3 linked regions of the Arabidopsis thaliana genome follow. The protein of the gene in region 1 purifies or fractionates together with the protein of each later gene. This does not show direct contact. Each region holds a gene or a part of one and is shown on either strand. Other genes may lie near its edges. The genes, in order: TCP-1, EMB2107 and AtCDC48B.

The links.
Region 2: the proteins of TCP-1 (region 1) and EMB2107 fractionate together in Arabidopsis thaliana (co-fractionation; one large-scale study listed by BioGRID). This does not show direct contact.
Region 3: the proteins of TCP-1 (region 1) and AtCDC48B fractionate together in Arabidopsis thaliana (co-fractionation; one large-scale study listed by BioGRID). This does not show direct contact.

What each region holds. Positions count from the first base shown.
Region 1 is NC_003074.8:7,000,746-7,004,498, forward strand, and holds the start of TCP-1 (T-complex protein 1 alpha subunit), read right to left. Parts: upstream 1,691-3,753; 5' UTR 1,522-1,690; coding exon 1,449-1,521; intron 1,272-1,448; coding exon 1,207-1,271; intron 995-1,206; coding exon 905-994; intron 793-904; coding exon 706-792; intron 598-705; coding exon 538-597; intron 452-537; coding exon 401-451; intron 249-400; coding exon 153-248; intron 1-152. Other genes in the region: UBC19 (ubiquitin-conjugating enzyme19), read right to left, coding at 2,182-2,228, 2,326-2,385, 2,488-2,551, 2,660-2,887, 2,971-2,998, 3,420-3,538.
Region 2 is NC_003076.8:3,090,879-3,094,631, forward strand, and holds the start of EMB2107 (26S proteasome regulatory subunit, putative (RPN5)), read right to left. Parts: upstream 1,718-3,753; 5' UTR 1,557-1,717; coding exon 1,554-1,556; coding exon of another isoform or gene 1,550-1,553; intron 1,462-1,549; coding exon 1,267-1,461; intron 693-1,266; coding exon 585-692; intron 498-584; coding exon 393-497; intron 309-392; coding exon 252-308; intron 159-251; coding exon 1-158. Other genes in the region: AT5G09910 (Ras-related small GTP-binding family protein), read left to right, coding at 2,394-2,487, 2,738-2,829, 2,927-3,068, 3,134-3,438, 3,521-3,574, 3,666-3,753. UniProt on the Arabidopsis thaliana protein: Acts as a regulatory subunit of the 26 proteasome which is involved in the ATP-dependent degradation of ubiquitinated proteins. Required for gametogenesis and sporophyte development. Acts redundantly with RPN5B.
Region 3 is NC_003074.8:19,721,426-19,725,178, reverse strand, and holds the start of AtCDC48B (ATPase, AAA-type, CDC48 protein), read right to left. Parts: upstream 1,830-3,753; 5' UTR 1,764-1,829; coding exon 1,735-1,763; intron 1,638-1,734; coding exon 1,472-1,637; intron 1,244-1,471; coding exon 1,015-1,243; intron 895-1,014; coding exon 128-894; intron 41-127; coding exon 1-40. Other genes in the region: AT3G53220 (Thioredoxin superfamily protein), read right to left, coding at 2,564-2,783, 2,882-2,907, 3,013-3,147; UMAMIT6 (nodulin MtN21 /EamA-like transporter family protein), read right to left, coding at 3,415-3,604, 3,699-3,753.

The sequences.
Region 1 (3,753 bases):
ATGCAATGACTAGGGTATTATTGCAAGATAAACCAGATTTAAGTAGAAAAGAGTCCCCCAAGAAAAAACCAAGAATAAACATAGGTTTTAATAACACTAATGTTTTAATGAATTTCCACGTTATTGCTTAGTAAGGAGAACTGGAAGCGTACCAAATTGGCAAAGAAGTCGCTGTCACCAGATATCAGTTTGGAGGACATGCTGGTTTTGGCACAGTTTATCAATGGAACTTTCCCAAGCTTTTCGACCTATAAAACGCAAAAAAAAAAGTAATTAACTAAAGGGGAAGAGACAGACAGTACAGTGAGCTTTCCCAATTATACTGACACAAAAAAATTGTATGAAGAGAGGAAAATTTCCTCTAAGAGGCAAGACTATAGACCATCACACGAGGACTAACCTTGGTCACCAACTTCTCTTCTATGTATTTGCAAGATTCTCTCATTGCTAGCTGTCAACAGTAAAAAAGATAATGAACACACTGGAAACACTTCTGCAGTGCAGGTTACAACATATGAAATTAAAGTCGCAGCTTACCCTATATCCACTGATAATTGATGTTGGATGTATTTTGTTCCTGACCAAATCATTTGCCCTCTGCAAATATATACATAAGACCCATTAATCATCAAGCAATAGTTACCATGTGAAAAATCTCCCAACTCTAGGAAAACCAAAACCAAAGAAAACAGTAATCAAACTAACCTTCAACAACTCAGCAGCTACAATAACAACAGATGTAGTCCCATCACCGACTTCTCTATCTTGAAGTTCAGCTAACTCGACAAGAACCTGTCACAACAAAAGTAGACAGATTAGAGAACTGAGTAACTAATAATTCATAACCAGTGTTTTGAAATGATGATAAGAAAATACGTATAACAATCACATTTGCATAAATTACCTTAGCAGCAGGGTGCTCGACCTCCAACATCCTAAGAATAGTAGCACCATCATTTGTAATAGTCACATCACCAATATCATCCACCAACATCTGAAACACAAGCCAACATAACATGAAACACGATTGGAGGAACTAGGAACGAAAATACAAAGGACAATATCGAGCAGATTTAGAATAAAACTAGAAATGGTTAGGTCTAAAAGTAACCTAAAACTAAACACAACTGTTGCCAAGATGCATCTAAGATATAAAAAAGAAAGCTAGCAGAATATATATACACAGATGCAAATCAGAAACCAAACCTTGTCGAGGCCGACGGGACCAAGTGAGGTCTTAACAATATTAGAAACAGCTTGACAAGCCATCACTGCAAATAGAGTATATAAAATACGAGTCAATAACCACAAAACATCTAAAAGAATAGATTCAAAACAAACCCTAGCTAGAGATCGAAACAAATTTGCGATGAAAACAAAGTGAACAGTTTAGTAATGAGAAGAGATAGGAAATAGACGTAAGAGGAAGCGATGGAGAGTAGTAGTACCGTTCTGAGTACGAACATCTTGGCCGGATTGTCTATCGCCGGAAATATCCGGATTTTGGGCGGAGATCGACATTATTCAGTTGTTATATGAACAGAAGAGGAGAAGCGAAAGGCTCTAGATCGGAGATCTGAGCTCTCGAGATAAAGTGCAGTGAGAGATTTTTCGCCTTTTATTGAATTGAAGCGAAAATGCTTCTCAAAAGTTTGTGAGAGTGAGAGACTCCGGCGGGTTTTTAACTTTCAAGGTTTCTGGGATGTACGGCCAGGGTATGAATGAAGCGGCGACGTTTTTATATTGGGCCGAAATAATATATACCCTCAAAGCCCATTTGTAATAAAGAGTTAAGCACGAATTATGGGCTTGGGGATTTAAAAAGAAGGCCATAAATGTCAATTTCAAAACATTTCATTAGTCTTCAGTACTTTGTCCGGTGCCAACGTTTCACATGTTTGAGTCTTACTTCTCTCGTGGGGAACTTTGGTTTCTGGATTTTTCAATAGTTCAGAAACTTTTTTTTGTATTATACTTTCAGATACTTACTACAACATTTCAGAGTTACTATTATGAACTTCTCAAATCTCAGTTACGGAAGAGATATAGGTGGTGATTGTGGAACTGTAATAAAGGTAGAGTTTGATTGCTAATATTGGCTCAAATTGAGATTATAAAAGTAAAAGAGATATGATCCAATACAGTTGAGATTTTAAAATCAGTTACAGTGATTTTTGAGAATCATGCGTTTAAAGGCTTGTAGAGCTTCTCAACCATCTTCCTGTACTCTGTATAACATTACAAGTTCAAGAAGACGAATATCATTATGAATCGAAAAATGGAGACGTCCAGAGATGTGTAATCTGATAACTATTGCAATTTTACCTTCTTGATTGCTCCAAAGCTGAGCCGCTTGATTGTTCAATGGTGAGCTGATGTTCGGTTCTGATCAATTAAAACAAAACAGGAAAAATCAGATACTGGATCAAACCAACAGAGAAATTCTTCATAAGTAACCTCAACAGTTATATCAGCCATAGAGTTTACCTCCGAGAAGGCTTTGAATTGAGAGTAATATCGTCCTCACATCATAAGCAGATGACCATTTATCCTACAAAAGATGTGAAAACAGATTCTGTTTTAAGTACTGCTTCTCTGATATGTGATTCCATGGGATTTACAGTAACACAAGTAGAAAGAGCAAGTGATTGTTATGTACCTGAAGAATGTCCAAGCAAATATTGCCATAGAGATCCACATTGGGGTGGAAGCAGCATGTCTCAAACTTAACTTTGGGAGACTTAAAAGGATAATCGTTAGAGAAAGTGAGTGAGAGTCTGTACTCAGTTCCTTCGAACACAGTATCTTTGCTTCCTGTAATTGTTCCTTTCCAGCAAAATATGTTGTCTTCCTCTGGAAACGCAGATATCCCCGGATCAGCTCCCATCTGCAATACATAAACCCAAAGGCCTCTATATAAGCATCCAACCATATCAACAGGTTCAGTTATGCAGAGAAAAGATAGCTTACCATCAATCCCATTAGTTCAGATTGCAGCCTGCAATTAAGGAAAAACAATGAATTAGCAAAACCATGAATTTGTTTGCTTTGATCAAGAAAGGGTACATAAAAGAAAGTACTTGAGATCTGTAGTACATACAAAGTTTGATGTATCATTCTCTTAGAGACATTATAACAAACAGTTGGTAGACAAAGAGAGAACCCATCATTTCAGAAGAGAACAAGAGAAGTCACAATCAGTTTTGGATCCATCGTTTTCTCTAAAAATGATCTAGAAAGCATGTAGACCACAAGAAATGGATATGGGTAGAGCCAAAACCTAATCTAATCTACCTAAAGAAACATGAACAACTCTATAAACAATCGCAGCGATTCTAATCATTAAGAGGCTAAAGACTAATTCCTTTAAATGGACGCGAGAATATTCCAAGATCGGAAAAATGTAAAAAAGAAATAACCTTTTTAGAACGGAGTGGCTATCGACGGTCTTAGTCGGAGGAGCAGATTGCTTTGATCCGGTGGCTGCCGGTGTAGTCGCCGCCGGAGTATTCCCTGTGTACCCATTAACCGTCGCCATCCTTTTTCGCCTCTTCTAATTGAACAAAGCAACAATCGTAGTCGAAATTTCTGAAATTGAAACGCTTTTTTCTCGAGAAGAATCAGATTCAAGAATGATCGAAACTGAAGAAGAAGGAGAAGAGAGATAGAGATAGAGATAGAGAGAGAGTTCTTCTTCTCTTCTTTGAGAGAGAGAGACGTGGGTCTGGGTTATAAAACGTGTACGACACAAGA
Region 2 (3,753 bases), on another chromosome or scaffold:
AGGGTTGGTATATCAGCAGGAGCCTCTTCTACCATGTTATCACCTTCCTTAGGTTTCTTCTTATCTTTTTTTGTATCTGCGTCAAAAACTCTAGGATTGATCTTCCTAGATAAGATTTGTGCACGAACAAAATCTTGACGATCCAAGCACAAGCGAACCTTTAAAGTTTGACCACAATAGTTTGATAGTTATCACAATGAAAGAAAACACCAGCAAATTATTAATTGCAACGTAACTACACAAGTCCTTACTTGTTCAAGGATAAATGCAATTTTCTCAGTTTTTGCCATAGCACCAAATGTCTCCACCTGTTAATTATTTATCAAATTGCAGGGGTTAACAAGGGAAGAAAATTTCCAGGAGATTTAATAGCCAAATGCACAAAATCTTACAGCAACTTCTTGCATAAGATCTGCAGCTTCAGCTATCTGACCCTGTTCTTCCTTAATCTTAGCAAGTTTCTTGGTGAGACGTGCCCTCTCGATTTCAACATATATCTATACATGTAAAATGCAATGGTAAACAATTACACAGAATGATGAAGTTATTATAAAGAATACACCATCAGTTTCATAGTTTCGCACCTTTCCAGCAGATACATTGTTCAGCGTCTTGATAAGCTCTATCCGAGTTTCAATGTCTGGTGTCTGATCGATATACTGCATTGCTTGCTGCACCATGGATTGCACAGCCTGCAAGTGGAGAAGTTCACAAAAAAAAAATCAGTGATGTTGACTTATCACTTTGTATCCTTACTTTTAACTATAATTTTGTACATGGAAAGGTGAAGCTAATTCTGTCTGAAGTAACTAGACCAAGAAAACACGCAAAGCAAAAGTAAAACCAACGAAACACTGAAAATCAAACTAAGTTAAGTAATAAACTGAACTAAATACAAACATCACTATCTGCAATGACCCAATTTAGCTTTAATATTTGAGTCAACAGTGAATCTATCAAAATCATAGAGAGGAATCGTAAAAGCAACCTATCACAGGACAACATCCCACAAAAAGAAGCTTGTATCCAACACAAAGTCGAATCCTCCTGAATTTGTGCTAATGTCCTTAATCTCTTTCCAAGATTAGGGTTACCAAAAACTAGGCCTATGCAATTCCTAAGTCAAATGTGGAACAAATCACATTCAAAACTCAAACAAAATATCCAACTTAAACAAATCCTTCAAATTATCCCAAACCAAAAGTTCATGTTCCTTAAGAGCTTAAACCACAAACACTGATAGGATATAACCAAAATTCCAAGTACCTGTTTGAGCTGACCACGTTTCTTAGAGAGATTGAGAATCTGCTCATTCAGAAGTTTCCAATCCTTAGCATCGAAACAAAGCTGAAGAATCTCAGTGGCGGCTTTCCTTGTACCGGCTACGTTTTCGGCGAGTCTCATCTGCTTCTCTTCATTCAGAAGCCGATCTATCGTTGCCTCAAGCTTCCCGCTGTCTCCCTGAAATACAAACTATGACGGAATGAGAAGATGCAAAAATTTCGAAAACGAGAAAAAAACTTAATATCAGATCTGAGTAATTGAAGACTCGCCATCGTGAGAAATCCAACGAGAATCAACTCAAAGTAGTTGAAATTCTGGTGACGGAACGACGAAGCTTTAAACTATGGAGAAAGAGGAGACGGACGAGAGAGATGAGAGAGCTTTTGGGAGTAGCTGAGCACAGATAATTCGCAGAGTTCCCAACCCCTTGAACAAGAAATCTCAGATTCTTCGGCCGATGGATCTTTTTACATGGGCTGCTAATGGGCCATTAACTAATTGTTTTGAGTCAATCAGGTTTGGTATGTAATACCGGTCTAGTTATATGGTATGGTGTTGGTTCAGAAGTATCGAACCGATCCCATTGATTGAACAAACTCACGTCGTTCGTTCTTCCGCCCAAATCTCATGATATCTTCGAATTTTCGTAGCGAAACCAGAGATTCTATAATGTCGATCGAGAACTCCCTGTCTCGAGATTCAATGGTTTACCTTGATTACTGGAAAGATCTTTTCTGAATTTTTTTCATCGAGGAGAAGAACGTTAAGGAGGAAGAAGGTGAATCTTACTTCTGTGAAACTCTTATTACGCTCTTAGAATTCGAATATTGATCCTCTTACATATTCCTTAGATTCGCTGCTTACCTCCATCAATTGTGTTAACTTCGGTATTGGTTTCGATTTGTGCTCTAGAGATTATTTGCACTAGGAAGGTGAAGGAACTGTAGCCGAGACTCTGTTTTGCAATGTGCAAGGTGATGGATTAGAATAATCTGCTTACAGCTAGGAATCAGAGTTTCGAAATGATGATTTCTGGAAGCTTCTCTTTTGGTCGAAGACGCGACTATGGGACTTAATTTCGCAGTGCCGATTTTGCTGGAGTAATCAAAATGCGGTTTTGGAGGGAACGTGGCAGGGAAAATAAGGAACATATGGTAGCGCCATTATGCGGCCAAATTCGAGTATTGGTGGTTGGTGATTCAGGTAATATTAACAAATTCTCGTTTCCATAGATTTGGTAATGGTTCTAGCTTTTTAAGTAGCCATTTAATGGAACTAAAGAAAGTTTGTCGTAGTGCACAAACTCATCCTTAAAGAAGGAGCTAATGAGAAGATTTCTCATGATGATTGGATATGAGTTTCTACTTGTGGAACCTAATAAGAGTCAAGTTTCGTAAGTCTACTACATCTTCTCCACTATTGAGCAAAGTTTTATCTCTGGATATCAAATTAGGTGTGGGAAAATCATCTCTTGTGCATCTCATTGTCAAAGGCTCCTCTATTGTTCGCCCATCTCAAACTATTGGATGTACAGTTGGTGTCAAGGTAACTTAAGCTGTTCTATAAAAAAAATTCTCGATATGGTTAAAGAGAGCATGGGATAAGTTTCCCTACTTAGTTTCTGGAACTCTCTTTGGTGCAGCACTTAACTTACGCAAGTCCTGCTAGTTCTTCAAGTATCATTAAAGGTGACTCAGAGAGAGATTTCTTCGTCGAACTTTGGGATGTTTCAGGTCATGAACGATACAAAGATTGCCGCTCACTGTTCTATTCACAAATCAATGGTCTGTCTCAACAAATGTCATCTCTGTCCCTGTTTTGTCACTGATGCGACTGTTTGATTATGCAGGAGTTATTTTTGTTCATGATCTTTCGCAAAGGACTACAAAAACTAATTTGCAGAAATGGGCGGGTGAAGTTTCAGTAACTGGGGAGTTTTCAGCTCCCCTTTCTTCTGGTGGGCCTGGTGGTCTTCCCGTCCCATACATCGTTATTGGAAACAAAGCTGATATTGCTGCCAAAGGAGGAACAAATGGAAGCAGTGGCAATCTTGTTGATGCAGCTCGTCATTGGGTTGAGAAGCAGGGTCTGCTTCCCCATAGTGATGAACTTCCTCTCTCTGAGAGCTTCCCTAGCAATGTTGGTCTCATAATGGTAACCACAGACTAAATTACTTGCTTTATTTGAATTTAGTGTTATGCGGTATGTCATATAATTTTGGTAAAATTATGCACAGGCTGCCAAGGAAGCTAGATATGACAAAGAAGCTCTGACCAAAATTTTCCATATGGTTGGTGTCATTTCTGACCTTGCCATGTTTTACAATAGCTCTCTCCCTCTCTCTCTTTCTCTTCAACCTAATGAACGTTTTTCGTTTTCAGTTGATAAGAAGAAGATATTTCTCAGACGAACTACCGTCGCCTTCTTCAGCATGGTCTCTTTCCCATGCACCTTCCCAGCGGTTAGATG
Region 3 (3,753 bases), about 13 Mb from region 1:
CATACCCATGGGTGTCTTTAGATACTCTTTCCAAATCAACCTGAATAAGAGAAAATAATGTCAGATCTAAACAAATAGAAAAAGGTAAAAGAAAAGAAGAAAATAATTATATGTAACAGAACATTACATCTTCCGCAAGCTTCATGTTCTTGGTGTGAATCCTGAGAACTTCAAGACGACCAATCTCATCAGGAACACCAATATCAATTTCTCTATCAAAACGTCCAAATCTTCTCAAAGCAGGGTCAATGCTGTTGGGACGGTTGGTAGCTCCCATAACAATCACATGGGCTCTGGATTTAAGACCATCCATAAGTGTCAAGAGCTGGGATACAATCCGTCTTTCAACTTCTCCGTGAGTCTTCTCTCTTTTTGGAGCAATCGAATCGATCTCATCAATGAATATGATCGAAGGGGCATTCTTCTCAGCTTCCTCAAACGCTTTCCTGAGGTTACTTTCACTCTCACCAGCTAGCTTCGACATGATCTCGGGACCATTGATACAGAAGAAAAATGCACCAGTCTCATTAGCAACAGCACGGGCAATAAGTGTCTTCCCAGAACCAGGAGGGCCATAGAGCAAGATTCCTTTGGGAGGTTTCACACCAATAGACTTGAAGAGCTGTGGATGCCTCAATGGGAGCTCAACAAGTTCACGAATCTGAGCCATTTGTTTCCTGACACCACCAACATCATCATACCCAACTTCATCCAACCTCTCCTCATCCTCTCTCTTTATCGGTTCACCTTCACAGAAAATTTCTGTATCTGGAGCAACCACACAGTACTCAGCAGGATCAGTTTCAATAACCTTAAACTCAATACTTCTCATCCCTCCTCTAACTAGGAAAAGATCGCCCTTCCTCACCGGACGATATGCCTCTAAGAAATAAGCTGGCAATAAAAAATAAAAAAAACAGACATTAAACTACTGTGATAAAAACAGAACACATCAAGAAGCATATAAGCAGAGCACAACTTAAATGACAAAAACAGGGAAGAGAAAACGCTTACGTTTAAGGTATGCATCAAATATATTGCCACTTACTCCTTCAATGGTATCATCTAAAGGTAAGATGTGAACACGGTTCCCATACTTGACATCAGGACATTGATGAACAGAAATAACATCCCCAAGCCTAACTCTGAGATTAGACCTAACAACCTTGTTCATTCTAATTTTTGGTTCATCACATGTCTCATCAGCTAAAGCAATACACACAGTATCCTTCCTCTTCTTTCCCTGCAACCACAGATTCCCAAAACAAAAAGAGAGAAAACAAAGATGTAAATACACACAACTCAAAGAAACTATCCCAAAACAAAAGCATGAAAATTGAAAGACCTAATTCAAAAAACAACCCTTCTGATAAACCCTAGCAGCAAACCAATGAACAATCACAAAACCTTATAAACCCTAATTCAGTAAAGGAAACAAGAGAAGAAGAGCCTTAAAATTCAAAAATCAAACCTTGATTAAGATAGTATCACCACGAAAAAGCTGTAGCTTCTCCATGGTATCAGGGTGAAGAGAAACGACGGAGTTATCATCGTTAATGGCTTCATCCACAACCAAACGATTCGCTGCCTTCTTTTTCTCCAGAATCGCGGTGCTAAAATCCTTCTTCGTCCCCTTCCTGAGATATTCAGAGAAAAAAAAATAGAATTAGAAAAACCCCAACACGAAGACTAACAAAACCTTAAAGAGTTACTCAGTAATTAACAAGTACTTACGAATCAGATGATTCAGCTTGATTCGCCATGTTTGATAATCGAGTAGAGAGAGAGAGAGAGCTTCGCAGAGAAGAAAAAGAAGATTCGAGAAGTGTAAATAAATAGACAGGTGTGTGTTTTATTTATATAGAAGACAAATCCGTTTCTTGTTATCAAAGAAACGTTTATTTTATAGTATTTGTTTTCCATTATTATTATTCTTTTCTTCTATTTTTTTTTTATACATCTTCCAATTTAGAAAAGCTTCTAGTATGTTCTTATTTAGTTTTGAATAAACATTGTGATAATTTCACAAGAGATTTTTTTTACAAATTCAACAAAGTTACGTTTTAAAAAAAAAATTACGAAAAGAAGGTCGGTCTTAATGGGCAACAATAAAAGTTTTAATGGTTGATATTTTTTGTGGTGGAAGACCGTCCAATCTCAAACCTGACCCAAATTAGAAAGTTACATTAACCCAATTCATTCCTGGAAAACAAAACCGTTTAGAGGTGAAGCTTGGTGCTTTTGAGATTGGCAAGAGTGTGATTTAGAGACTTCAATGTTTCTCAAGGTCATTATACCCGGTTAAACCAAATTATTTGAGAGGGAAAGAGCCGCCGTGAGGAGCTCGGTGTTCATATTTATTTGTCAAGAGTTGTATCATGAATGTTAGCTCCATCCTCTGTTTAACCTTTGATGTTTCTGTAAGTTTATCCCTAACATTAATCTACCAAAGTCCAAACTTATTCAGGGGATTATTGTCGAAGAGCCAAGTATTTTTTGTGTTGGCATTTAAAGTATCACAAAAGGAATGCAGATTTTCATAGTTAATATTTGATGAACATATTCAAGAGTGAAGCCAAAGACGATCATGGAGCCTCTGTTCACCAGCTCCAAACATCTCATCGACTTTCTCGCCGTCTCTGTAAAACTGAAACGTGGGTGTGTAACGGATGTGACGAGTGGTTTCAGGGCACTCGTCGATATCTGCATAAACAAACTTGAGCTTCGAGAAACTGTTGCTGAGCTTTCGGAATGCAGGAAGAATCTGGCTACAAACTCCACACCTGAAAGTTTCAAAACAAAACCGTTCTCATTGAGGCATTTCATCGAACACTTTATAAGCATGAAAAGCGTAATCGTAAAAACAGAGAATAAGGTGTACCAAGAAGCTCCATAGTTAATAACAGCCTGAATATAACAAAGCAAAAACAAGAAGAACAGTCAGATTACGAAAAAAAACCAGCTTCGGTCTTAAAAACGTGTACAAATGTATAAGTTGTCGTGTGTAAGAACCGGAGATTTGGAAGACTTTATGTCGTCAAGAATTGTGAGGAAACTTTGGTCGTTTGGTGCGATTTTCACATTTCCATTGTCATTTGATTTGGATTCGAATTCAAGATTCGCTCCCTCTGATTCTTGCTTTCTCATTTTTTTGTTTCCTCTCTGTTTTTGTTTGTTTGGTTTTTAAAAGCGCCAATTTTGATCCCTCCAGGTTATAATATCATAACCTGAACCGAACCACAACTCTACTCACCTAACCACTGTGGCACTAAACCCAAACCAATCGATTTAATTCTAAACCGATTTTAACCAAATTTATTTTTATCTCTATTTCGTCAACCGGGTCCATTTCGATTTTAATGAGGAAGAGAGTAGGAACTAGGAATTTAAGACATAAATAGGATCTAACAAAATTTAGGAAGAAATTAATGGTTGACTAATAGGAGATCTTGGTTTATTATTATGGTAGTCTTCTTCATCACCAAAATCTGATGCTGCTGAAGAAATCATGTGTTGTTGTTGTTGGCAAAGAGCTTGATTCTCCCAACTCTTTCCCATCACAACTAAGTATAGTCCACTCATGATTAGTATTGCACCTATCAATCTGACCAAAACAAACATTAAAAAATGTGTAAGAAACTTAACTATAAGATATGAAAATAAAACGCATAATGAGTCAAAACATATAGATAACATACCCTCCAAGGTAAAAGTGTTCACCAAGAGCTAAAGTAGCTAAAACAGCAGCAATCA